4 linked regions of the Anolis sagrei genome follow. The protein of the gene in region 1 interacts with the protein of each later gene in a pairwise test. Links are inferred from orthologs where the notes say so. Each region holds a gene or a part of one and is shown on either strand. Other genes may lie near its edges.

Evidence for each region.
Region 2: the proteins of keratin, type I cytoskeletal 13-like (region 1) and MOS interact in a two-hybrid assay, tested with the Homo sapiens proteins (2 studies listed by BioGRID and IntAct). The two-hybrid records come from large-scale screens. The link is inferred for Anolis sagrei from reciprocal best matches to the Homo sapiens genes KRT15 and MOS.
Region 3: the proteins of keratin, type I cytoskeletal 13-like (region 1) and NOC4L interact in binary tests that used the Homo sapiens proteins (3 or more experiments, as listed by UniProt). The two-hybrid records come from large-scale screens. The link is inferred for Anolis sagrei from reciprocal best matches to the Homo sapiens genes KRT15 and NOC4L.
Region 4: the proteins of keratin, type I cytoskeletal 13-like (region 1) and AMOTL2 interact in binary tests that used the Homo sapiens proteins (3 or more experiments, as listed by UniProt). The two-hybrid records come from large-scale screens. The link is inferred for Anolis sagrei from reciprocal best matches to the Homo sapiens genes KRT15 and AMOTL2.

What each region holds. Positions count from the first base shown.
Region 1 is NC_090026.1:39,015,357-39,022,341, reverse strand, and holds the start of keratin, type I cytoskeletal 13-like, read right to left. Parts: upstream 3,009-6,985; 5' UTR 2,931-3,008; coding exon 2,370-2,930; intron 1-2,369.
Region 2 is NC_090024.1:49,588,148-49,594,221, reverse strand, and holds MOS (proto-oncogene serine/threonine-protein kinase mos), read right to left. Parts: upstream 1,573-6,074; coding exon 523-1,572; 3' UTR 503-522; downstream 1-502.
Region 3 is NC_090034.1:37,461,602-37,469,160, forward strand, and holds the start of NOC4L (nucleolar complex protein 4 homolog), read right to left. Parts: upstream 3,016-7,559; 5' UTR 2,980-3,015; coding exon 2,869-2,979; intron 612-2,868; coding exon 491-611; intron 1-490.
Region 4 is NC_090023.1:225,789,436-225,796,568, reverse strand, and holds the start of AMOTL2 (angiomotin-like protein 2), read right to left. Parts: upstream 3,017-7,133; 5' UTR 2,764-3,016; intron 1-2,763. UniProt on the Homo sapiens protein: Regulates the translocation of phosphorylated SRC to peripheral cell-matrix adhesion sites. Required for proper architecture of actin filaments.

The sequences.
Region 1 (6,985 bases):
TTCTATGCTATCCTGAATAAAAGTTCAATGTGCCATATGAAATCAATCAGATCAATGTCCTGACATTTAGTGTATACTTTAAAGGCATTTAATGTATACTTTCATTCCTCTAGCAGCAGTACAGTGTAGACACATGTACTATTGCTCTTTTTGGAAGATGTGTTGCACCCTAAACTGTATCTACCCCGGATCCTACTTTTTAATCTGGAAATAAAAAAAATCTACTTTGTCGAGTTTTGAATCCAAGTTCAAACTTATGCAGAAGAGGGAAAACAAAATGACAAAAGGTCTGGAAGCCATGTCATTTGAGGAACAATTCAGGGAGCTTGGCATGATCTAGCCTTGAGAAGAGGCAGAATGGCCATTTTTCAGGAGTGATTTGATTGTGTATTCCTGTGCGGCAGGAGGACTAAATGGTCCATGTGGTCTCTTGCAATTCCATAATTTTATTTTTCAGAAATGTTCATGAATATAAATGAGAACATATGGACGAAAAATAGCAAGGAGCCCTCTTTTTATACCAAAGTGAGTTGTATGGATCTTAATGAAGTTTAAGATAAACAAAAACAAAGAACAGAACCCAAACTTCCTTGGACATAAGAGGGAATATTAAACCAAAGCATCAGTCAGCTATCAATATCTGTAAATAATGGTTTGACAAGTTTGAATCAGCATCTGAGAACCACTTAAAGGTGGTCTGCTGAACCAAATTAGTATAATCATGGGTTGGATCTTAGTTTATTACCAATAATAATGAAATTAGGTATAAAACACTACAATAATGCATTAGTTTATTGCTCATAAAGGGCTTAATGAGCAGTAAGGAGTTCGATGGTAGAGCACATGTTGCACAGACGTGAGTTTCTGGTTTCATCCCCTCTCCAGATAAACCACAGACCTGATGCCAATTGGAGCAGACTATATTGATCGAGAGGTGGTCTGGTTTGGTTTTGGACAGCTTCTCAAGAGATCAAAAAACTCACGACCCAATGACTGACTTGCATGTTTGAAAGATGGCAGATTTTTCTTTTTGCCTTACCCTCAACAACAAAGGAAATTCCTAGACACTGTTGTTTTTGATCACGTGAGTGATTATTCATCTACTATAGAACTATCAAGTTATGATGTAGAAATCATATCTGGAAATATTTCAAAATGCCTTTGATGTTGCAAAGTAGCATCGGAGTACCTCTGAACCTGTATATAATGCCTTTCCTTATTGTGGACTAACCACAACCAGCCCCGCCCAGTCTGGAACAGAAGCTAAACATTTCCTGGCTGGAGGCTTTATTCAAGGTAAAGTATAGGCTCATGCTTTCTGACATATCATCTAAGAAGATGGATAAATCATAGAATACAGAGATTCACAGAAATTACTTGCATGTACTTTTACAGGTTCTGCTCTTGTTAGTTTAGCTTTACCCCCAAAAGCAGAAATTAAGTACCTAAAGCTTTCAGAAGTATGAGAAGGTTTCTCTGCCAAGCATAACGACACTATATTTGCACAATTATCTAGGACTTTGAGGCAGGGGGAGATTCCTTTTGGACTGCCACCCTTTTATCCCCCCTTCAAATGCATTTTGATCTTCCACAAATGTGTTTCACAAAACCATGAAGAAGAGCTTCAAACATTTCCCATCCACTGGTTTTAAAAGCAGTTCATGCTTTGTTGTTGTATACTTTCAAGTTGTGTGACGCAGAGCAAGACTATTACGGGACTATTTTTACCAATTATTTTTTTCAGCTGAAGGTTGCCATTGCCTTCTTCTGAGGCTGAGAAAGTGTGACTTTCCCAAGTTGGGTTTCCATGGCCATGCAGGGATTTGAAGCTTGGATCCTAGACTTGTAGTCCAACAATCAAGCCACTACATCACACAGACTCGAATACCTGCAATGTACATCTTAAAAACTATTTACACAGCTGATAACTGCAGTTATCTCATCTTATTCAGTTGAACTTTTGGGAATCCAACATATTTTAGAGTTTTGTTGCAATCAAAGAAGCAGCATGCTTCTTTGGTTTCCCATTTGTTCATTTTTTCTGCATCACAAAATGAATAACCTTATTAGATTTGGTTGCATTTGTAACATTTCATGAAATTGGGTTGTGTTATTTCTTAGTACCATCAGGTTGCTTTTTCATTTCATTTTCTTTCTTTTTAACAGAAAGACAAAGGTTTCCTTTTTGCTTGGCTTGATTTTTAAGCAGAAATTGGAGTTATATTAGATCTGTTTATCCCCAGAGAAACATCACATTGTACAATATATCATGCTCTATTACATGGATCATTTAAAATCATGCTACAGATGTAAGTTGGAAGATGAAATCCCCCTCCATGCTTTACACATTTTCATCTGGATGGTCCTACCTTGTCACGGAGATCCTCAATAATCTTGTAATAATGGCTGTAGTCCTTAGCTGGACTACTAGGGGCCTGCTTCTGGTGCCAGTCTCGGATCTTGACCTCCAGGTCAGTGTTTGCTTCTTCCAGAGCCCGCACCTTATCCAGGTAATTGGCCAAGCGGTCATTGAGATTCTGCATTGTCACCTTCTCATTTCCAGTAAGGAGGACTCCATCTCCACCACCATAGTCAAAGCAACTACCAAAGCCACCACCATAGCCTCCACCAGCACCTCCACCAAAGCCACCACCATAGCCTCCACCAAAGCCTCCGCCAGCACCTCCACCATATCCTGAAGCCAAGCCAACACCTCCACCAGAGATGAATCCAGAACCATACCCGCCTCCTAAGCTTCCTCCATAACCACCTCCATGTCCTCCTCCAGAAGAGACATACCTAACAGAAGAGGAGGACATCCGGCCACCACCTCCACCATGGCTGCCGGAGGACACACGGCTGGAGCCACCCCCACCTCCAAAACCCATACCACCACCATAAGAAGCAGAGGAACTATAGTAGGTAGACATTCTGGGAACAATAGGTGAAGGTTCAGATGCAAGACTGTTACTTGGCTTGGCTGAGCATGCAAGAGCTAGGCTTTGAAACTTTGCCGGGCTCCATTTATAGTTGTCATTGTGGGGCGTGTTTATGCTAACAGAAAGCACACATATTGCCAAAACACACCCTCATGGGTGAGGCAAGCTGAAAACATGTGCTTGCATGGAAAAAAGTAACAGCTCATCCAAAAGAGGGGCTGTGCTTTCTATACATATTTTTCTTTAAATTCAATGAAACAAAAGATGTTCAAAATTGTCTCAATTGGCATCCGAGATTGGATTACTCCATTCGCAATCTCTCTTTCTGTATCCATATCTTTTTTTCTCTTTCAAACATTTGATACAAAGTGAAGGAAATACATACTGAAACTTCATTAATAGAGAAGCCATGCCAATGGAAACTATTGCATGCAGAATGAAATTATTTTAGCAAAAATTCCCCTAATTTCCCAGATGTCCATACTACCTTCTCTGTCTTTTAGCAACCAATTTGTGGCTCATTTGCTGTGACATTTCTCTCTCAACAACCTCTCTCCCCCCTCCAATTTCCATCTGGATTTTGAAAATGCACATACTTATTTATAAATAAAAAGTGGGGGTGTTTGGTAACATCTCTTTTAGACTATTGCATTTATTTGATTTACTGCATATTTCTATCTTACTTTGGGGGCAACAAGCCAAAGGTAGCATGCAGGGCTCTCCTCTTCTATGTTTTATCCCCATTACAGACCTGTGAAGTGGGTGAAGTTGACAAACAGTGACCTGTCCAAAGAAATTCAGTGAATTCTGTTGTTCAGTGGGAACTAGAATATAGAATTCATAAGCCTCAGATGAATACCTCACATTGATTCTTCTGTTAGTGACTGAAAACTGCAAGAATTCATTGTGTTCTATGCAGTTTATTTCATTTTAATTTAGGCATTTGTAAGAGATTTTCCAGGTAGAATGGGTCCTTCATCTGTTTTGTATTTCTTCTTCAAGATATACGCTGTACTTCTAAGTTCTGCAAAAGCTATGTGAAATTTCGAAGTGAAAACCATTATGATGAAAATGGACCTCATACTAGTGGAAAGTAGATTTATTTTTGAGAGCACTATGAGACACTGGATGCACCCAACATTTCTTCTAGTGTTAGAGCTCTCTTTTAACTCACTCTCTTTTCGTGCCTCTCTCCTACTCTATACCAATTCTTTCATTCACCGAGCGATTGCACAAAGGAGCTTATGTGCATTGGAGACTTGGTAATCTGTCAATCAAGGTGAAGATGATGGATACTAAAGTGATAGAAGAGCACTTGCCTGCTTTCATTTCTTCCCATTGCTGCCATGATCCAGTTTCACAGACACTCCTACCACACCCAAGTTGGGAACTAGGGTGCAGACAGGCTGGACTGGCACTAATGTCAAGTAAAGGTTTGGTTTGCTTCACCTGGAAGGTCAAGCGCTCTCCTCCCTGTCAATCCATTTTACGTCAATCCACTCTAGATTTTAGTCAGAACTTTCAATACACAATCCAAGATGCTAAACTTATTTTAAAAATATGGTCAACATTTTGGAGAAGGGCTAGGCTCCTCTAACACAGAGTATGTATATAGCTGGTGTCCCAAAGCACAAAAAAGGACCAAAGTTTCTTGGCCTGATGCACTTTGGTCCCAATGCATGTTGATCTCAATGCACACTGGTCCTATTATAAATTGGTCCTGATACACATTGGTCACTTATTGATGTCCCTGTATAATAACATAATGGCTGAATGCTGACATTACAGAATCTTACAAAGTCAGATGTTCCCACACAAAATCTTAGACAACATCTTTCAAACCTGGACTAAAACTCAAGAGTATCCATTGTTCCAGTGTCATGAGGGCTGCCCATCATGACTGCTGCTCCCAGTGCTAGATTTAGGACAAATGAGGCCCTGGGCTAGTTAAGTTATGAGGCCCTTACTTGGGCCCCAAAGGAGGTAAGTCCAGTAGGCCTACATTGCCTTCTTTATGTCACACTCCAATATATTATCAACTCTATCATTATGTCTGGAATTGCTCTGAAACAGAATACCTTCAAATGTAGAATTTCACTACATAAGTAAAATCCATAGTAAAAAAAAATTGTGGGGGGGGGGGGGGGAGGAACATGGGTCTCACTGGTCAACAAGCACACCAAAGCATAATGGTAAATCAAGCAGTGGCTGCTCCCTTTCATAAACACAAATATGTTCAATGTGCTACTGCATCCCCCTCCTTCCTCCAAGATGAGAATTGCACTTGTACAGTATAGAGAAGACAAACAAATGCCTGTAGCACAAAAATTCCCTGATGCAAAATTGGTACAGAAAGATAAGAACCACACGTCCACAGAACCATACAAATTAGTGCTGTGATCATAGAAAAACCTTTGTTTTTGCTGGGTTCTTTTTGTACAACCTATAACCATACACTTGAATGCTTATAGAAGTGCCAATTCTGCACCACATGTTTTTCCAGGTAGAAAGTCACTCTTTATTTGCATCCAAGGCTAAATTAACCTATACAAGCATATCTTGGCTAATGTAGAAGATGTGTTCCTGGACTTTAGTTGTTTAACTGAAATGTTGGAACCAGAGGAAGAAATAACATGGAAAGAATGGGGATGGGTTCCTATACAACTAAAAATCGGTTCAACATATTTCAGCAAATCTTTTATCCAAAACTAATATTATGCACATAAGAAATGAAACAACCAAATTAGGTGCGCCTTGCATAAGTAAACAAAAAACATTTTGAATCTCCTAGACACCACTTGAAAGTTCTTCCAAATCATTCAGAAATGATTTTCTTTCCCTTTCAAGCAGGCCTGTAGCCAGGATTTTGATTCGGGGGAGGGGGGGGGCTGAGTCTGAGTGAGAGGGTCTACCCTAGCAAACCTTTTGTATCATTACTCCATGGTGATCAAATCATGATATGAATAAACATAACAGTTTAAATAATGTACCAGTAAGGCCTTCTCGCAGACCACCATGAGAATTTGGGGGGGGGGGGGCTGAAGTCGCCCCCCCCCCCAGCTACATGCCTGCTTTCAAGAGTCTCTTTTCTTCTAATGATTTCCATTCTGTGGTGAAACATATAGTTCTATCATTTTTCTACATGTCAGTCTGCCTTGCCCTTTTTTTTCTGTTTTGCTTTGAATGCTGCTCAGAAAGCGATTATGGAGACAGCTGCTGTTTAAACTGGCTGCTGTATCTAAGCACACACAGCTAGAGCAGGATCACCTACAATAAAATCCAATTTTTTCCTATGTTAAATTTATTACATCGTTTATAGTAGACATAGTACTATTATCCAATACTCAAATTTTGTCCAGAAAATTTCTCCAGCTGATCTTGATCATCCTCTCAAAACTTCAGGTAAAACGGAAAACAAGAGAGAGAGGCTGGGGGAGGGGAGGCAAGGCACCCACCAAAAGACTTTATAAAAAGTAGCTTTACAGAAGCTGTGTTAACTGAAGCATATACAGTGTTCTCTCACTTATCACGGGAGTTACATTCTAGGACCACCCACAATAAGTGAAAATCCGTGAAGTAGGGATGCCATATTAATTTTAATATTTATACATTATATATTTTATATATTATTTTGTTACCCGCACTTCCTTACCCACCTCCTGGTCCATCCCAAGGGTGCCTGCCTCCCTCCCTGGCCTCCACAGACCCCGGCAGAGCCTCCGGAGCCTGGTCTGTGGAGGCCAGGAAGGCAGGCCTTCCCCACCGCACCTCAGATGCTGCACTTCCAGAGTCCCTGACCACCACTGGATGTAAATATTATATATTTTTAATTAATATTTTCAAAAAAACCCAAAACAGCGAGTCCGCTAAAAGCGAATCACGAAGTAGTGAGGGAATACTGCATGTCCTCTTTGATGCAGGTTAGAAGTGATGCATCCATATCAGGACTCATGCATGAAAATGGGTCTCCACTGTCACTTCAATTAAGGACAGAAAGTGAAAAAAAAAATGTGGGGTCTCCCCAAGGAACCAAAGGTTGTGTAACT
Region 2 (6,074 bases), on another chromosome or scaffold:
CAAACTGTAATCAGATAGGCCTGATCTTAAGAAATTCCATGAGTATTAATGAGACCAGCTCCTCCACTGAATGTTCTGAGGACTAGAGCCCAAATTTAATATCTTAAACCAGGCATTCTCCCAACTGTGGCCCTCCAGCTGTTTGGATCTCCAACTCCCAGGATTCCTGACCATTGAGCAAGCTGGCTACGTCTTCTGGGAGCTGGAGGCCCAAATAGTTGGAGGGCTGGAGTTTGAGTATGCCTGTCTTAGAGATTAGGAGATCTGAATGCCTCCAGACTATGTAGATTGTTATAAGAATTGATAACATAATAAACTGCAAAAGGCTGTCATTTAACTCAGAAGAGCATTTTCACACCTACTACTAATATTTTGCGAAAAGTTTTATTTGTAGACAATTTGAAAACCAGTAACATTTTTTTAATTTGCTCTGAATCTTGAGAGGTCAGAGCAACAACACACTAGTTTAACTAAGAAAATTATCAACAATAAAAGTGGAGACACATACAAGACCGTAACGCTTTACACTTTTAGAGACAGAGCATGAATATTCTGGAGGAGAAGTTCTGCACTAGGACGTTTGGCAACATCAGATTTCCAGCAACTTTCAATTAACATTTCAAGCTGTTGTCCAGTGGCTGAACCTTTAAACACAGCTGCAGTTAGTGAAGGGCGCAAATTACAAGCTACTACAGAGTAGAGTACATACTGGCGTTCACCCAAATAAGGTTCTTGCTGTGTAACCATTTGCCAGAGTGTGATAGCAAAAGAGTAAATGTCTGCCTTAGGAGTGACTCTCTCACCTTTAAGGAGTTCAGGAGCACGATGGGTGTATGTCCCACCTTGTTGAGAAAGTAGTGGACTTGATGATTCAAGATCCTGTAGTTTTTGGGAGCATCCAAAGTCTCCAAGTTTGCAAATATTTTGTTCAGTGATGAATACATTAGCAGGTTTTAAATCCAAATGCACAATCATTTGTGAATGTAGAAAGATGAGACCTGCTACAATGTCACAAGAATAGCCTAATGCCTCAGTTATGCTCAAAGATACATGGCCAAATCCAAGCCCATCATCCTTACCCTTTTCTGTCTTGCAGTCAGTCCCATAGATAACGTGGTGTAGAGTACTGTTACCTACATATTCCATTATTATGGTACCCAAAGTGTCCTGATTAGCAGGGGCACATGTGCTAGCAGCTACAATCCGTACCACATTATTATGGTCAAGATGTGCCACATTTAATTCTGCCCAGAAACTCTGCCGTGATGCCAGACTGTTCTTACTGCTTTTCTTCACCTGCTTTACTGCTACTGTAGTTCCACGATAAATAGCCTTGTAGACTGAACCAAAGCCACCTGATCCCAGGGGGTGTAGCAAACACAACTGATCCCAGTCTATTGAACACCAAGCTAGACGAGTTGGTAGTCGGCGAATCCTGGGTGAAACACCTTCAACACAAAAAAACTTTTCACCTTTGGCTGGAAACACCAAGGGACTACTGCAGGGCCGTGCATTCACAGATGGAGAAAATTGTAGATGAAGAAGACGATTATGAGGAAGAGGAGATGGCATAATTATGGAGGAACAACCCTTGGCAAACAAAATAAGAAGCTTCTTTCTTTTTAAAAAAAGGATGCAGGACAATTAAGCAGTATTTCATGAGTTTGCTCTGTTTTGCTCCCAAATTTCTTTCATAGAACCTCTGCATCAAACTTACAGCCAACAAGCTCTGATTAGTTTCAGATGAGGATGATTTTAAGCACTACTGCCTACTAACTTTGGCCATTAAAGGGAACTGAGAGTTCAACCCTAATTCCCAAAACACTTACGGCATGGTCCTAAAAATGCTTAATTGGAAGTAAATTCCATTGACTTCTATAGGAATTATTCCTTCATAACTCTACTTTGGAAAAAGTTTTCTTATCACTTTGATATTAGATCTTTGTATAACTTTTCTTAGCTTCCTATAAATCTGAAAAAAGAAGCAGAAATGAAAGTGTGTCACTTCTTGTCCACCTTCTTTGTCATTAACAGTTGTAAAAAGGCAGAAATTCAGCAATCAATGATCTCTTAATGCAAGAGAAAAGTGTAACTGTTGAATTTCAGTGTGTTGCGTATCATGTTAAGGACAACTTTTTTTCAGAAAAATATCATAAAGGGCAGACCACCTTAATAGGTCCACCACACATACAGGGACAGATAACAGCTGTGATACTAACTTTGACAAGGGAATTATCTATCAATGACAACATTATTAACTACCTTTACCCACAGATCCATATGCTCAAATCTTAAAACAGCATCAGGGATGTGACCTGATGGATGTGTGTTTGGAGATCAATTGGGATATGACCATGTTTGTCATGAGTTTCTGAGCTGCACCTGACAAATTGGTGTTGGAGTCAGGTGACTCCAACATCAACTCCAAGCCCATTTCCACGAACTCAGCTAGTTAGTCTGATAGGCAGCTGGGTTGTACTAACAGAATCCCCTCTAGAGAAGAAAACTATGTGTTTTGGAAAGGACTGCAGATGCTAAACTGATAGTACATAATTGCCACTTTTAATGTAAAATGAATTTTATTGAATGATGGGCAAATTTATGATGTTAGAATGTGGCTGACTGACAAATATTTGGTTTACGGAAAACATTGGTACAAGGCTACTAAACACAATTCATCCTATGGATTTCTTGATGTGCACTTAATATTAACAAAGGAAGTCTAGTGCAAACTTTCTACACAAGGGGGCAACCTTGTCTTGTCTTGTATGTGACCTGTTGCAAGAATAAGTTTGAAAGGAACTACTTAAATGAGCTTTGTGATGTATTTAGTATTGTAGTGCATCTTTCCTCTTGAAAGTAAGAACAATATTTGTTTTCTATTTATACCCTGTTTCCAATGTATTCCAGAATATTCTATGCAAATCTAATCTCTGAAAGCAAATCAAGCAAGTCAACTTTTCTCCGATTGTATACCCCAAATTCTGTCATCTGTGCTCAGTAAACGGAAGTCTCAGTAAATGTGTCTTTATGTTGGGATTTGGAGATAGTGAAAGTAACAATTTATTTACTTGTCATGATATTAGAACCTGAGGCTAGACACCAATGCTGAAAAATTCTAGCCGGATAAAGTACATCTTTGCATAGTTGGGATGGGAATCATGTCTCTCTGCAGATATTTAATCTCCCAGCATCCCTAACTGGTAAAACTAGATATATTGTTATCTATAGTTCAGCAACAACTTGGGGGCTGCATAATTTCCAACTATGGAAAATTTCACACTCAGAAAATAAACACCATGATATGTTATAATAGTCATTATCTGGTATAGTCTTACAAGGGGATCAAACAAATTTGTGGAAGCCAAAGGCTATGAATGACTACTACTCAAGAAACTCACTGAGTGACCTTGTGCCAAATGTGTTAGAAAAATGTACTTGAGAGGTTTCCTGTGATTATAAAAGTTTGTCCAGAGCCATGCATGCCATGTTGACTTCACTGGAAGAAAAGCAGTATATAAATATAAATTTTATGTTGAGGCAGTTTACCTTTACAGGCAGTATGGTGTAGTGGTCTGTGTATTGGATTAGAATTCTAGGAGCCAAGGGTTAAATCCCCACTCCCAGTGGCTGACCTTTGGGCAAGTCGTACTTTCTCAGCCATAGACAAACACGAAATACACTTTTTAGGAAACCCTTGAAGGGGTTGGAGTCAACTTGAAGGCACATGACAACAAATGACTATCAGTTACTAGGAACATCAGTGAGGTATGCTGCTGCAACTATACCCTTATGGGCTTTGCTTGGCCACTGTGAAACAGGAGGCTGGACTACTGTAGCAGGACTCCCTTTGTGATACCTGGGTGAGCCTCCTGCTAATTCATTTTTTTCCTCCAAATTCCAGTGCAATGAGAAAGCACTCTGCAGTTGTTTTTAATTCTGTGACACCTCACAGTAGTAAATTGTAGTTACTGAAGTTTCTGCCTTAAGGTAGAATCAGATTCATTCTACTGAGGAAGGAAAGGCAGTAGAGATGACGTAACTAGCTTTGTTTTCCTTTCTCATTTAGCATTTACCACACCTGATATTCCCTTGTCCCTATTACTGGAATGTTGTAGCAGTGTCAGTTACAAGAGCATTATTCAAATTGAACATAATTGATATGGCTAGGTCTTCACTACTGAAGATTAATTTCAAGAGATATTCTGTAAACCCCTGTGGAAAATCTCTGGTTGGAGGGAATGTCCTTTACTCTGTAGTAATATATGATGATACAAAAGAGGCTAAGAGACTCTAGCGCCTATGAAAAATTATCAGACTGACCCTTGGTATGGCTCTGTATATTAACATCATACAGATGACTACAAAAAAGGAATTCCTACTCTAAAGCATACTCATCAATCCTTTAATTATTGTATTTGTGTCCCAAAATAATTGATTATCTGTGATGTACAGAATTCATATAAGCCTCTAATAATTTTTGTTATTATTGAAATGTCACTCATTTTCAAGAGTTGTTTTCAAGACCTTTGATTTGGGCAAATCATAGACCGAAAATACCACCTTTTTTAAAAAAAATAGTTCTCAATTTACTATTGATCTATGACAAAATGTTTTGAGAATATAATTCTCTTGTGTTTTGGTAACTGTTTGCATAATCATACACACAAAAACAATACACATATTTTACATAACTAAAACCATTCTGTAGTTTTATTGATATTTTGTGGAGTTCACATATTTTTGTACAGCAAACATAACACTGTAGGCCACAAGAAGCTGCAGCACTATTGTTTAATAGCAGCAAGTTATATTTTTATCAGGGTATGTGGACAATAAATAGTCTGTTTCTTTGGATATGAATGCCTAAATTGAATTTTTGCTGCAGCTTCATAATGTGATAGCTATTTTACAGAGCTTATACACAAAAATATATATGCAATCTTTTGTCTATATTTTATACAAATACAACAGTAGTTTGTGAATACATTTTAAAGTACATATACATGATAAGCAACACATTTTCCCATATCACAGGATAGTAATTTTTATTGAAATACACAAATTCGGTCTGGAATGCATTTTTCTATTTTGACTCAAAATCTGTATCATTAAACAGTTTTTTCCCCACAAGTCCAAACATTTTCCACTATCTAAAAATATAATTTCAGCAACCCACATCATGTTCAGATGTAATTCTTTTAAAATAGTTTTCATTTGCCAAGATCGAATGGGCCCTTTGAGACAAGCATGTTCTTCACTTCACACCATATCAAAAGCCCTCTTTTCATTTTCATCTTCTAGTTTTGAAAATAGGCTTATTTGGGTATAAATTTGCATGTCCAAGATTCTCATTTTGCAAGTGCATATGAAAACATGGTGATATACAAAATTCATTAATAACAAATTAAGTCACAGTATAAAAATATATCATACATCTATAAATCTAATATAGGCCTTTCTCTATGGATAAAAATACATCAGTCTAAATGAGACAGAGGTCTGTAGCACCATGAGAGGAGCTGTATCCCAAGTTATATTAGCAGCATGATCCACTATAATATATTTGCAGGAGTGTTTCTGAGAAGATAAAACATTCATTCTGGTTCAACTGTACCACTGAAGCTTATATTGAAAATGTTTGCATGCCATAAGCAATAGTTCTGTGTCAATTTTAGGGTTAAATACTCATAACAACATGGCCTTTTAACACACTACAACCTTATAACTGTTAAGGGATTAGAACCCATTTTTTCCACATTATTTTAAATTGTCTTCTCTGTAATGTATAACTGGTGATAGTTTTTATTCTATACTGACATGATACAAATAGGCAGCTGAACCTACACAATGTATTTCATAGCAAATAATGTGTAGGTTTTATTACTAAGAGGCATGTCATTTTAAGCCGCTAAACCAGTGTATGAGACAAATAAGAGCTTAATCCTTCTCTTTATACAGGCACAGGATCAACCCTATGCTATGACAGGACATAGTATTTTCAGAATACTGCTTTTTGTAGAGATTGCAATTCTATGCATATTTACTTAGAAGGATATTTAATTGCATTAAAT
Region 3 (7,559 bases), on another chromosome or scaffold:
TTCCCCATGTAGCTTGAGGTGGGTACAACATAGTTAAAACATGTGGATAAAACAAATGACCATATATAGATAGATAGCTAAAACAAAGATTAAAATACCAATACTAATAAAATGTAAATGTAAAATTCATGGTTTAAAACTGGGTAGATCTGGAAAAAATAGGTTTTAAATTGTGTCTTAAGTGTGCCAGCTGAGCCATGGCAGTCAAAGGGATGTTAAACTGCATTAAATCAACAATGTAATGTATCTTATGCTTACCTCTTACTGTTTTGAGATTTCCCTAATTTTTTTTCCTTTTTGTTCTAAAGAAATCTTCTACTTCTGAAAACCTTGAACTTACCCAAGACAGGTGGTATCTTCTCCTTTGTCATTTGGCTATGTGAGCCTCAGCACTCACACCTCAATGATAGCAACTGAATTTGAACTACCATGCATCATTTGCATTCTCACATTCACACCAACTGCTCTTTACAAACAGATATATCCTCACCTTGCTGAGATTCCTCTTCGGAAGGTAGTTTGCCCACAAACAGTTCTCCTTGCTCAAGCAAAGATCCAAAGAGCCGGCTGCAAATCCGGATGGCGCATAGAACAATCTCCTTTTGCTCAGACTGGGAGAAGATGGGGAAGGAAAAGGTTCGGAAATAAGTGACATCTGCTCAAACAGTTACAAAAAAGTGGGGATAGACACTGGGTTAACTAAGCATTGTGTAGAACAGGCAGTCCCCAGGTTAGAAACAAAATAGGAGTCTATGTCTAGATCTAGGGAAGTCATGCGACCCCTCTATTCTGACTTGGTCAGACCACACCTGGAATCACACTGTGTCCAATTAGGGGCACTGCAATGCTATAGAAAGGTTGACAAGCTAGAATGTGTCCAGAGGAGGGTGACTAAAATGATCAAGGGTCTAGAGAACAAGTCCTATGAGGAGTGGCTGAAAGAGCTGGGCATGTTTAGCCTGCAGAAGGGAAGGCTGAGAGGAGTCATGATGAGGGCCATGTATACGTATGTGAGGGGAAGTCACAGAGAGGAGGGAGCAGGCTTGTTTTCTGCTGCCCTGGAGACTAGGGACACAATGGAACAATGGCTTCAAACTACAGGAGAGGAAATTCCACCTGAACATTAGTAAGAACTTCCTAACTGTGTGCAAGAGCTGTTCAGTAGTGGAACTCTCTCTCTGCCCCAGAGTGTGGTTTGTTGTTGTTGTTCGGGAGGCTCCTTTTCTGGAGGTTTTTAAACAGAGGCTGGATGGCCATCTGTCGGGTGTGCGTTGAATACGATTTTCCTTGGCAGAATAGGGTTGGACTGAATGACCCACGAGGTCTCTTCCAACTCTAGGATTTTGTGATTCTAGGGCTGATGCTGTCTATCCAATTCCATTTTCGGAAACAGTGTCGCAACGAACCCCAGGAACAGGCTTCAAAACAAAGACACCAAAGGAAAAAAAATGGGGGGGGGGGGGAGTGGCTGTGTAATATTAAAGCCATACAACAAAATTAAAACCCCATTTACAGAGCCTTCCTTGAAGCCTACGAGTTAGTTCTAAAGGGTTCTTGTGGGTTTTTTCGGGCTATATGGCCATGTTCTAGAGGCATTTCTCCTGACGTTTCGCCTGCATCTATGGCAAGCATCCTCAGAGGTAGTGAGGTCTGTTGGAATTAGGACAATGGGTTTATATATTTGTGGAATGGCTGGGGTGGGGCAAGGAGCTCTTCCTTGCTGGAGCTAGGTGTGAATGTTTCAACTGATCACCTTCATTAGCATTTGAAGGCTTGGCTGAGCCTGGGAAAATACCCTGTTGAGAGGTGTTAAGATGTGCCTGGTTGTTTCCTCTCTGCTGTTTTGCTGTTATAATTTTAGAGTTTTTTAATACTGATAGCCAGATTTTGTTCAGCCATGAGAGTAAAGATGAAGATCCACCCAGAGGAAAAGTGTTCCTGCCATACATCAAGGGAACCACTGACAGCATAGGGAAGCTGATGAGGAAACACAACATACAAACAATCTACAAACCCACCAGGAAAATCCAACAAATGCTACGTTCAACAAAGGACAAGAGGGATCCTCTCACCTCTGCAGGAGTCTACCGTATACCATGCAGCTGTGGACAAGACTACATAGGGAAAACCAAACGCAGAATTGCCCAAACACGAATCAAGGAACATGAAAGGCACTGCAGACTACTTCAACCAGAGAAGTCAGCCATAGCAGAGCACCTGATGAACCAGCCTGGACAAAGCATTTTATTTGAGAACACAGAAATGCTGGACCACACCAACAACCACCATGTCAGACTACACAGAGAAGCCATTGAAATCCACAAGCATGTGGACAATTTCAACAGAAAGGAAGAGACCATGAAAATGAACAAAATCTGACTACCAGTATTAAAAAACTCTAAAATTACAACAGCAAAACAACAGAGAGGAAACAACCAGGCACATCTTAACACCTCTCAACAGGGTATTTTCCCAGGCTCAGCCAAGCCTTCAAATGCTAATGAAGGTGATCAGTTGAAACATTCACACCTAGCTCCAGCAAGGAAGAGCTCCTTGCCCCACCCCAGCCATTCCACAAATATATAAACCCATTGTCCTAATTCCACAGACCTCACTGCCTCTGAGGATGCTTGCCATAGATGCAGGAGAAATGCCTCTAGAACATGGCCCTATAGCCCGAAAAAACCCACAAGAACCTAGTGATTCCGGCCATGAAAGCCTTCGACAATACATTAGTTCTAAAAGTGGCCCGTGGTGTCGTGAGGGCCCAAAGGCCAGGCTGGGCTGGAGGGAGGCGGAGGCCAAGCACGTGCCCAAGGGTTTTGGAGCGCAGCTCTTCGCAGAAGGAGGGCGACCCTCCGGACCCACCTGCAGCAGCTCCAAGGCCTCAAAGACGCGGTTGGCATGGCTCCGGCTGCTCAGGACCGCCTCCAAACAGGCACCCAAACTCGCCTCAGCTTCAGCTACCGAGGCCGCCATGATCCCTTCTTTGGTTGACTGGGCATGCGCGGGGGGAAGGCCGACTGGCCAATCAGGCAGCCTTTCGACTTCGCCACGCCCAGCACGCACGCGGCTCTTCCCGTAACCAAAGGCTCATTGGTCAATGCCGCTGGGGCACCTGGGAATTACCGAGGACGAGAGGTGGAGAGCTTATATCGCGTTTCAAAAGTGAACAAGAATGCAATGTGCAGTCAAGACAGTATCTCTCAACCCGAGGGTCGGGATCCCGGGGAGGGAGGGGGGGGGGGGGGTGTCGCAAAAGTACATCAGAAAAATACAGAAAAATTCTGTTGGTCATTGAGGTCCTGTTTGCGAAGTTTGGCCCAATTCTATCAGAATGCTCGTTGATTGTAGGCGAACTAGAAATCCCAGCAACTTCAACTCCCAAATGTCAAGGTCGATTTTCCTCAAACTCCACCAGTGTTCACATTTGGGCATATTGAGTATTTGTGCCAAGTTTGGTCCAGATCCATCCTAAAGGGTTCTGGTCCGGCTTACCTATCTCAACGTATCTCTCCTTATGAACTATGTAGGACTTTAAGATCATCTGGGGAGGCCCTGCTCTCAATCCCACCTTCCTCGCCAATGCGTTTGGCGGGGACCAGTGTTGGCACCTCAGCTATGGAACACCCTCCCCAGGGATATAAGATCGGCTCCCTCTCTTCTAACATTCCGTAAGATGGTTAAGACCTAGCTTTTCGAGCAAGCTTTTACATAATTAGACGAAAAGCGAACAGGGGATGACTGTTGATGCAATTGGAGACGCTGAGGATTTGTTTTATCGATATTATTGTTTCTTTTATACTACATTTTAAATGTTGAATTTTTTATAACTGTATTTATAATTGTTTTTAACTGTACCCTGATATTTGTCATGGCATCAAATCGCTGCCTTGAGCCGCCTCTGGCTGAGAAAGGCGGTATACAAATGCAGCAATTAATTAATTAATTGTTTGAGTCCACAGTGCTCTCTGGATGTAGGTGAACTACAACACCAAAACTCAAGGTCAGTGTCCACCAAACCCTTCTAGTATTCTTTGTTGGTCATGGGAGTTCTGTGTGCTAAGTTTGGTTCAATTCCATTGTTAGTGGAGTTCAGAATGCTCTTTGATTGTAGGTGAACTCCCAAATGGCAAAATCAAACCCCAACCCCACCAGTATTCAAATTTGTGCGTATCGGGTATTTGTGCCAAATTTAATCCAGTGAATGAAAATACATCCTGCATATCAGATATTTACATTACAATTCATAATAGTTGCAAAATTACTGTTATGAAGTAACAATAAAAATAATGTTATGGTTGGTGGTTGCCACAACATGAGGAACTGTATTAAGGGGTCGTGGTATTAGGAAGCTTGAGAAACACTGAGTTAAGAGTTAGTGTGCCAGTTGCTGGAGATCTGTAATGTATCCCACTTGGGCCCCTTCCACACAGCTGAATATAATCCCACATTATCTGCTTTGAACTGGGATATATGGCAGTGTGGACTCTGATATTCCAGTTCAAAGTAGATATTGTGGGATTTCTGCCTTGATATTCTGGGACATAGGGCTGTGTGAAAGGGCCCTTCAATCTGCTTCTGTTCGACTGGCTGCCAATCTGTTTCTGGATACTATTCAGAGTGGTGGTCTTTATCTACAATGCCTGGCCTACACAGATTACACTAAGGCCATTCAAAGGACCTATATGAGCCCTATCATAGCGCCTAGATCTAGGGAAGTAATGCTACCTCTCTATTCCACCTTGGTTAGACCACACCTGGAATATTGCGTCCAGTTCTGGGCACCACAAATGAAGAGAGATATTGACAAGCTGGAATGTGTCCAGAGGAGGGCGACTAAAATGATCAAGGGTCCGGAGAACAAGCCCTAGGAGGAGTGGCTTAAAGAGCTGGGCATGTTTAGCCTGAAGAAGAGAAGGCTGAGAGGAGACATGATAGCCATGTATAAATATATGAGAGGAAGCCACAGGGAGGAGGGAGCAAGCTTGTTTTCTGCTTCCCTGGAGACTAGGATGCAGAACAATGACTTCAAACTACAAGAAAGGAGATTCCATCTGTACATTGTTTTTTGTAATAATTGTGCATTGTAATTGCTTATTGGTAATTTATGGATAATGTGTTAAGTCAATTGTTATATGTTGTATGGAACCACTGCTGTTTCTACTGTTTTTACTGTTTGTGAACCGCCGTGAGTTGCCTTCGGGCTTGAGATACAGCGGTATATAAGCAAAGTAAATAAATAAATAAATAAATAAATAAATAACATTAGGAAGAACTTCCTGACTGTGATAACCATTCAGCAGTGGAACTCTCTGCCTCGGAATGTGGTGGAGGCTCCCTCTTTGGAAGCTTTTAAACAGAGGCTGGATGGCCATCTGTCAGGGATGTTTTGAATGCAATATTTCTGCTTCTTGGCAGGGGGTTGGACTGGATGGCCCATGAGGTCTCTTCCAACTCTATGATTCTCTTTCCAGTTGCATCTGGACCGAGAACACATCTTTGTTAACTGAGGCGAAAAACAATTGTTAACATTGACAATGAGTAGAGGTCAGGTTTCATCTCCCACTTTACATCTCTGAAAGTTGGGTGTAGGAGATATGTCTAAGCTAAAACTTTTTGACATTATATTTGAAGATCATAGCTTTTTCCTTAGGGCAGGGCTGTCAAACCCATCAACCTTACAGTTCCCTTCAAAGGGCTGTTGAATCCATAGATTGAAAATATCCCTAGATGGAGGATCCGTAGATACAGAGGGCCAACTACAGAGTCACTGAGTTACAAACATCCGACTTACAAATGACTCCTAGCTCAGAACAAGGCTGAGACAACAGGAAGTGAGAGAAATCTACCCCGAGGAAGGGAAATCCATTCCTGAAAGAGTTATCATGGGGGGAAGAGGTCTCCACTGAAGCTTTCCCATCAATCCTTGTTTTCACAAGCCTTTTTTTTTTTCAAAATCCAATTATCACAGGGACAAAGTGAGAGGAAATCTTCTGAACAGGTGCACAGACAGCAAAGGAAACACCACAGGGACGTTAACTCTTCCCTATGCTATCCAAAGCTTATATATGTTTGTGTGTATGGCTCGAGTTACATTTTAAAAATGTACCTGTTCCAAATTAGAAATTTAACTTAAGAACAGACCTACAGAACCAATCTTGTTTGTAATTTGCAGACTGCCTGTACATAGTTTTTTACATTGTGGGCAGTGATCTTTCATTTTTACCCAATTTGCATGCCTGAATGTTGCTGAATGACAACTCCTATCACTTTTGATTATCTGCCGTGCAGACAGGGGTTGTTGTGCACTTGTGGCTCTGAGGTTGGGGAAACGTTAAGGGACATTTTAAAGTCAGACATCATATCCATAAGCCTTGTATGATTTGAGGCTTTTTACTCTTTGTTGTGGGAGGGACTGCAGGTCATGTGATCAAATTTGGGCTTGTTCAGACTCCAGTTTAGAAACAGTACAGTTTAGACTTCAGTAGGAACTGTATGCTTAGAGACTTCAGTAGGAACAGTTATGTTTTCCGACTCTCGGACTATACAGATTCCATTGGACTTTCAGACTAGACAGAAACTCCATTAGACTCTCAGAACAGAGAGATGCTTTAGATTATGGACTGCTGATTATAAGAAATCCACACAGATAAACTACTTCAAATCCTATCTGTAACTGGACCGATAAGCAAAGTATCTGTATGCTGAATACATTAAGCTTATGAGTAAACCAACTATGTTACCTTTACAGAAGTCTGCTTCTTTTTGTCTCTTGAGAGCATGATTTAAGCCAAGATGTTTTAAGGGTGAGCAGATGTTTTTGGGCAACCAAAACAACACAGCGGCTTTCGATGCCATCGATCATGGTATCCTTCTGGGTCGACCCTCTGGGATGGGTCTTGGGGGCATGGTTTTGACGTGGTTCCGGTCCTTCCTGGAGGGTCGTTCCCAGATGGTGAAGCTGGGAGATGCCTGCTCGGACCCCTGGCCTTTGACCTGTGGGGTCCTGCAAGGCTCTATCTTGTCTCCCATGCTTTTTAACATCTACATGAAACCGCTGGGAGAGGTCATCCGGAGTTTTGGAGTTAGGTGCCATCTCTATGCAGATGACACACAACTCTATTACTCATTTCCACCTACAAAGGAGGCCCCTCGAGTGCTGGACAAGTGCCTGGCCACTGTGGCTATCTGGATGAGGACGAACAAGCTGAAGATCAATCCCAACAAGACAGGTCCTCCTGGTCAATCGTAAACCGGATCGGGGTATAGGGTGGCAACCTGTGCTGGACGGGGTTACTCTCCCCCTGAAGTCACAGGTCCGCAGTCTGGGAGTCCTCTTGGATTCATCGCTTACGCTTGAGGCTCAGGCGTCGGCGGTGTCCGGGAGGGCTTTTGCACAACTAAGACTTGTGCGGCAGCTGCGACCGTACCTCGCAAAGGTTGATTTGGCCGGGGTGGTCCATGCCTTGGTCACCTCTAGATTGGATTACTGTAATGCGCTCTACGTGGGGCTGCCCTTGAAAACTGCTTGGAAATTCCAACTGGTCCAACGGGCG
Region 4 (7,133 bases), on another chromosome or scaffold:
CCTATGACTTTCCCTTACATACATGGCCCTCATCATGCCTCCTCTCAGCCTTCTCTTCTGCAGGCTAAACATGCCCAGCTCTTTAAGCTGCTCCTCATAGGGCTTGTTTTCCAGACTCGCCCTCCTCTGGACACATACCAACATCTCCCTTCAAGTGTGGTGCCCAGAATTGGACACAGTGTAATTCCAGGTGTGGTCTGAGCAAGGCAGAACAGAAGGGTGGCATGATTTATGTTCTGATTTATGCAGGCCAAAATCTCATGGGCTTTCTTAGCTGTTGCACCATGTTGTTGGCTCATGGTGCAACAGATCTTTTCCACATGGACTGCTGTACAGCCAGGCATTCCCATTCTGTATCTTTCATTTGTCCCTGTTGAACTTCATTGAGTTGAAGTCCAAAACACCTGGAGGACCAAAGTTTGCCCATGGCTGGTGCAGAGGCACCCTTAGTTACAATGGCTGCCAAGGGAAGCATCCCTCCTTCTCCTCTTTCCAGCTGACTTTCCCAAAGCAGTCTTTCTAAGCCCAAGGCAAGAGAGCAGGAGAGCCCTCCGCCTGGTCCCTCTGCCTTGCCGCCTGCTGCCCGCCTGCCTGCTTGCCTACTTCTCGCTTGCAGCCGCCGCTCTTTGTTTTCCACATAGCTCTGCGCTGACATCATCCGGGTTTGGATTGCAATTAACATTCCTGCGAAGTGAGAAGCCAGGGCTCGCGCAGCTATGAGAAGCAGCAGCAGCCGGGAAGAGACAAAAGCCAAAACTAGACATATCTCCAGATAACCACAAAGCATGCTTGCACAATGTATAGATGGATGCATACTCACAACTGAACCCCCAACTCAACAACCGACACCTCCAAACAAGCACATTGAATTAAGCAAAGAATGGCACAGGAAGGAGTTCAAAGCAACCCTCGCTCACTCCAGCTGTACATTGAGGCCTTGCTTGCCCAACTTTCTCAAGAACAACCCAGTCAAAGAAAGCGGGCAAGAACCAGAGCCAGCCAAAGGGATTGAAGAAACCTCTCCCGAAAACCAAGAGTGCAACCATCCCACTTCACCATGGCGTGACTTGGCCTTCCAAGAATCACTAAAGGCTACTATTGCTTCTCAATGAGTACATAACATTTTGACCTCAGGCATGGCTTGACTATGGCTGGACCTGCACTGCCAAACAACACATTATTCCTAATATTAGTAATAATATTGCAATATAGTGGTATAGTACAAGTTAATAATATTATATATATATATATATATATTACTAATATTGTTATATGCTAATAATATAATATATTATATATACATATAATATTAATAATATTAGAATGTAACACAATATAATACTAATAATACAATATAGTAATAGTAATATATAGTAATAATATTATTATAATGCAATACAATATTAATACAATATAGTAATATATAGTAATAACATTGCAATATAATACTAATATATACATATGACATTAAAATATTGTAATGCAATACAATATAATACTAATAAAACATAGTAATATAGAGTAATAATATAGTAATATAATAATACTAATATATATACATATAATAATACTGTAAAGCAATATAATACTAATAATATAGTAATATATAGTAATAATAGTGTAATATAAGAATACTAATATATATATATATATACATATACATATAATAATATTGTAATGCAATATAATATGGAGTAATAATATTGTAAAATAATACTAATATATGAAATAGATACATATTATATTTTAATGCAACACAATATACTAATAATACATGATGCAATATAGTAGTATATAGTAACAATATTGTCATATAATACTAATACATTAAATATAGTACTACTGATATGATAATAATAAATAATGATATACTGTTTTACTATTGTATATTTGTATATTTTAAGTTGCAATATTTTGGATTGTGAGCCACTTTGAGAGATAAAGCGGGATATAAATAAACAACTCAATAAATAATGTGGTCAGTGTCAATCCATATCATAAATTCAGTGCAGATCTGACTTTTTGCTCCCAAAGAATCATCCCTCTTGGCTCTTAAAGGGGGCATCACATTCTGACTCCAATAGATATGCTTTGCCTTCGCCTTCAAAGAATCAAGGCTAGTATGAACTGTTAAAGAGTGCAAGACATTTCGACCCCAAAAGACACAGATGTATTTAGCCTCCAAAGAATAATCAGGACTGCTGAAGAGTGCATAACACCCAGGCTTCAAGAAGACATGGATTTACTCAGCCTATGAACCATAGCATGCCTGCCATAGATGCAGGCGAAACGTCAGGAGAGAAGGCTTCCAGAGCATGGCCATATGGCCCAAAAAACCTACAACAACCCAACCATTGTAGAGTTGTTATATGAATTTCCTAAGATGTCTGGCCATGTTCCAGAAGCATTCTCTCCTGACGTTTCGCCTGCGTCGATGGCAGACATCCTCAGAGGTTGTGAGGCCTCACAACCTCTGAGGATGCCTGCCATCGATGAAGGCGAAACGTCAGGAGAGAATGCTTCTGGAACATGGCCAGACAGCCCAGGAATCTCACAACAACCCGGCGATTCTGGCCATGAAAGCCTTCGACAACCACTGACGATACGATTCGCTTTTAAAGAAGGCACCACATTGCGAGTTTCTTGGGTTGAGTGAGCCCTCCAAGAACTGCAAAGGCTGCAATAAGCTGGGGAAGAATGGGCGCATACACACACATTTTGGGAAGACATGAATGAAGGCTCCGCTGTGAGGGGAATACTCACCGGACCATACTAGCAGCAGCACAGCCTTGCCTTCTCCCAACGTAGTCCCGGGCCTCCCAAAAGCGCAAACTCGGTGCTTTTCCTCTGGTTTGCGGGGGAGAGGACGACCAGTTGCCACAAAGCCCGGGCGGAGAGTGCTGTGCGTGCGTGCGCTCCTTGAGCAGTGCGCCTTGGTGAATGCGAGGTTGCCTCTCTCTGTGTGTGTGAATGTGACCAGCTTGCCTGCCTCCTCTCCCTCCTCCTTTTCCCCCCTGCTGGAAGGAAGGCGACTTTCAATGGTGTCCCTCCCTCCCTCCCTCTTTCCTCCTCCTCCTCCTCCTCCAGCTGCAAGGAGAGCCAGGGAGGCTGGGTTGCGCGAGAGGCGGCGCCCGGCGCTGCTATGCCAGGAATGCGAGAGTTTTCAGGTTTCCCCCGGGATCAAAAGCAGGCAGCTCGCTGCAAAGCATGACCTTGCCCAGGCCCACAGCCCGGCAGGAGGCGCGCGGCAAGGTCGCCAAGACGCCTCCCCGCTCGCCACGCTCCCCTGCCCTCGCCCCACTCGCCTGGGACCCGCTTTCGAGAGAGACCCCACTCTTAAAACCCCCGTTGTGGGCATTCCTGCTTCTACACAGCTATTGGGTACAGCAGAGCTTTCCACACTTTTCGGGACACGTAGATGTATCAGGCCAATGTAACAAGAAATGACAAAAGGCTTGGTAATGTGCGAGGGTTATCTGGAAAGTAGGGTTACAAGGTAACCATAAATATAAATATAATAATCTTATAGATAAATAAAAATGTAATGTTCGTTTGTGGGATTAACAGAACTCAAAAACCACTGGACGAATTGACACCAAATTTGGACACAAGACACATATCAAACCAACCAGTGACCATCACTCATAAAAACACTGAAAAACACTGCAGAAGGGACTTAAAAAGCTAAATAATAAACATTACATTACAATGCATGTGCAAAACCACATACACAAATATATACACACATATATACACACACAAAACACATGTGCACAGACTGGGCCACAGCAACGCGTGACGGGGTGGCTAGTCTATATAAATAAAAATGTAATGTTCGTTTGTGGGATTAACAGAACTCAAAAACCAGTGGGCCAATTGACACCAAATTTGGACACAAGACACTTAACAACCCAATGTATGTCCTTCACTCAAAAAATGATTTTGTCATTTGGGAGTTGCTGGGATTTATAGTTCACCTACAATCACAGAGCATTCTGAACCCCACCAACGATTTGAACCAAACTTGACACACAGAATTCCCATGACCAACAGAAAATACTGGAACGGTTTCGTGGGCAGTGTCCTTTGGTTTTGGAGTTGTAGTTCACCTACATCCAGAGATCGCTCAAACAATGATGGATCTGGACCAAACTCTACACAAATACTTGATATGCCCAAATGTGAACACTGGTAGAGTTTGGGGAAAATAGAATCTTGACATTTGGGAGTGGTAGTTGCTGGGATTTATAGTTCACCTACAATCAAAGAGCATTCTGAACCCCACCAACGATAGAATTGGGCCAAACCTCCCACACAGAACCTCCATGTGGGCCACAGCAACGCATGGCAGGGGGCGGCTAGTCTATATAAATAAAAATGTAATGTTCGTTTGTGGGATTAACAGAACTCAAAAACCACTGAGGGAATTAACTCCAAATTTGGACACAAGACACCTAACAATCCAATGTATGTCCTTCACTAAAAAAAATGATTTTGTCATTTGGGAGTTGTAGTTGCTGGGATTTATAGTTCACCTACAATCCAAGAGCATTTTGAACTCCACCAATTATGGAATTGAACCAAACATGGCACACAAGACTCTCATGACCAACAGAAACACTAGAAGGTTTTAGTGGGCATTGACTTTGAGTTTGGGAGTTATAATTCACCTATATCCAGAGAGCACTGTGGACTCAAACAATGATGGATCTGGACCCAGCTTGGCACAAATATTCCATATGCCCAAATATGAACACAGACTGAGTTTGGGGGAAATAGACCTTGACATTTGGGAGTTGTAGTTACTAGGATTTATAGTTCATCTACAATCAAGGAGCATTCTGAATCCCACCAGCAATAGAATTGGGCTAAACTTCCCACACAGAACCCCCATGACCAACAGAAAATACTTAAGGCCATCCAGTTCAACTCTCTTCACCAGGGCAAAGAGCCATCCAGCCATAGATAGAAATAGATATGATTCACACACAGAGAGATATAGTATCATAGATTTGAAAGGGACCCCCTAAAGGACAATAATATGTTGCATGTTCCAGAGTAGGCAAACCAGATAATCTCTACATCAACACTGACAAAGAAACAACAAGAAATGCTGTTTACCCAGAAACATAAAGAAATTACATATATTAGAAACCAACACTTATTTTCCAGATCACCAAACTGGGCCACAGAAACGTGTGGCAGGGGATGGTTAGTCTATATAAATAAAAATGTAATATTTGTTTGTGGGATTAACAGAACTCAAAAACCACTGGACGAATTGACACCAAATTTGGACACTACACCCCTAACAGACGAACAAGTGACCATCACTCATAAAAACACTGAGAAACACAGCAGAAGGGACTTAAAAAGCCACCCCCCAAATACATTACATGTGCAAAACCACTTATATATATACACAGACACACATATATACACACATATGCATATACACACACAAAATACATACACAGAAAGGGGGAAGGAAGGAAAGAAGGGAAGGAGAGAAAGAAGGAAAGAAAGAAGGATAGAGAAGGAAGGAAGGAGAGCAGGAGGGAGAGAAAGAGGGAGAGAAGGAGAGAAGGAAAGAGAAAGGTAGAGAAGGAAGGAAGGAGAGAAGGAAATAAAAAAGTGAAAGGGGGAGGAAGGAGAGAAGGAACAAAAGAAAGAAAGAGGGAGGGAAAGAAGGAAGGAAAGAGACCAGGAAGGATGGAACCAAAGAGCAAAGGAAGCGAGAAAAGAAACAGTTAGAAAAGGAAGAAATAAGAAGGTAAAGAAAAAGAGGGAAGGAAAGAAAGAGGGAGGGAAGGAGAGAAAGAAAGAAGAGAAAGAGGGAGGGAAGGTTGAGTACCGCAACGTGTGCCGGGTACAGCTAGTAAAATATAAATATAAATAAACAAAGTATAAATAAAACAACAACAATAATAATTATAATAAATAATATAATATATATAATATAATTATAATTACTTAGGCGATCTTTCTTAGCTTTAGGATGATGGTTTTCCAGATGTGTCTTGGTGGTGGGTCCATAGGTGTCTGTGGAGCCCTATTCTTGATCCGCATGTTCTCCTGCAGTGAGGACATCGGTTTCCAGACCGAAGGAGGTTCTGGTCAGGGTAGGCTTGACGTGCCTTTCTCTTGGCACGTTTCTCCCTTTTGCCTCCCATTTGTGCCTTTTCAAATTGTGCAGCAATTGTGGTTAGATCGCTCAAGGGCCATTTCATTTTCCATTCTTGAGTTCGGAATAGAGTAACTGCTTTGGGAGAAGGTGATTGGGCATTCGGACAACCTGGCCAGTTTACACAGTTATTGGGTAGAGCAGAGTTTTCCAAATTTTTCGGGACACCAATATATCACACCAATGTAACAAGAAATGACAAAAGTCTTGGAAATAGTCTTAATATCTTTATCTTACACATCAAATAAGACCCTGTTTTTGTGTGTGAGTGTCAGGGCGACTTGAGAAACTGCAAATCACTTCTGGTGTGAGAGGATTGGCTGTCTTCAAGGATGTTGTCCAGGGGAGGCCCGGATGTTTTGATGTTTTACCATCCTTTTGGGAGGCTTCTCTCATGTCCCTGCATGGGGAGCTGGAGCTGACAGAGGGAGCTCATCCGCTCCCTCCCCGGGTTGGATTCGAACCGGCAACCTGCAGGTCAGCAACTCAATCTTCAAGTCATCAGTCCTGCCGGAACAAGGATTTAACCCACTGCGCCACCGGGAGCTCCTGTAAATATGATTTGGGTGTGTGTAAGGAACGACTTGAGAATCTGCAAGTCATTTCTGGTATGAGAGAATTGACTGTCTTCAAGGATGTTGCACAAGGGACACCCAGATTTTTTTTGATTTTTTAAAACATCCTTGTGGGAGGCTCCTCTCATGTCCTGCCTCCTCTCCTGCTCCCAGTGGCCTTGGGCCTTGACAATTCAAAAAAATTAAAATTAAATTAGATTAAACTTAAAACATATTAAACATTTTAAAACATTCAATTCCATATTAAAATCACACCATCCATAGTTGTAGTCTAAGGTGTTCCACAGTCATTCCATATATTCCAAATCTGTTAATTGCAGTGCACTATTCTCTGAAGGCCTGATCCCACGGCCAAGTTTTTACCTTTCTTCTGA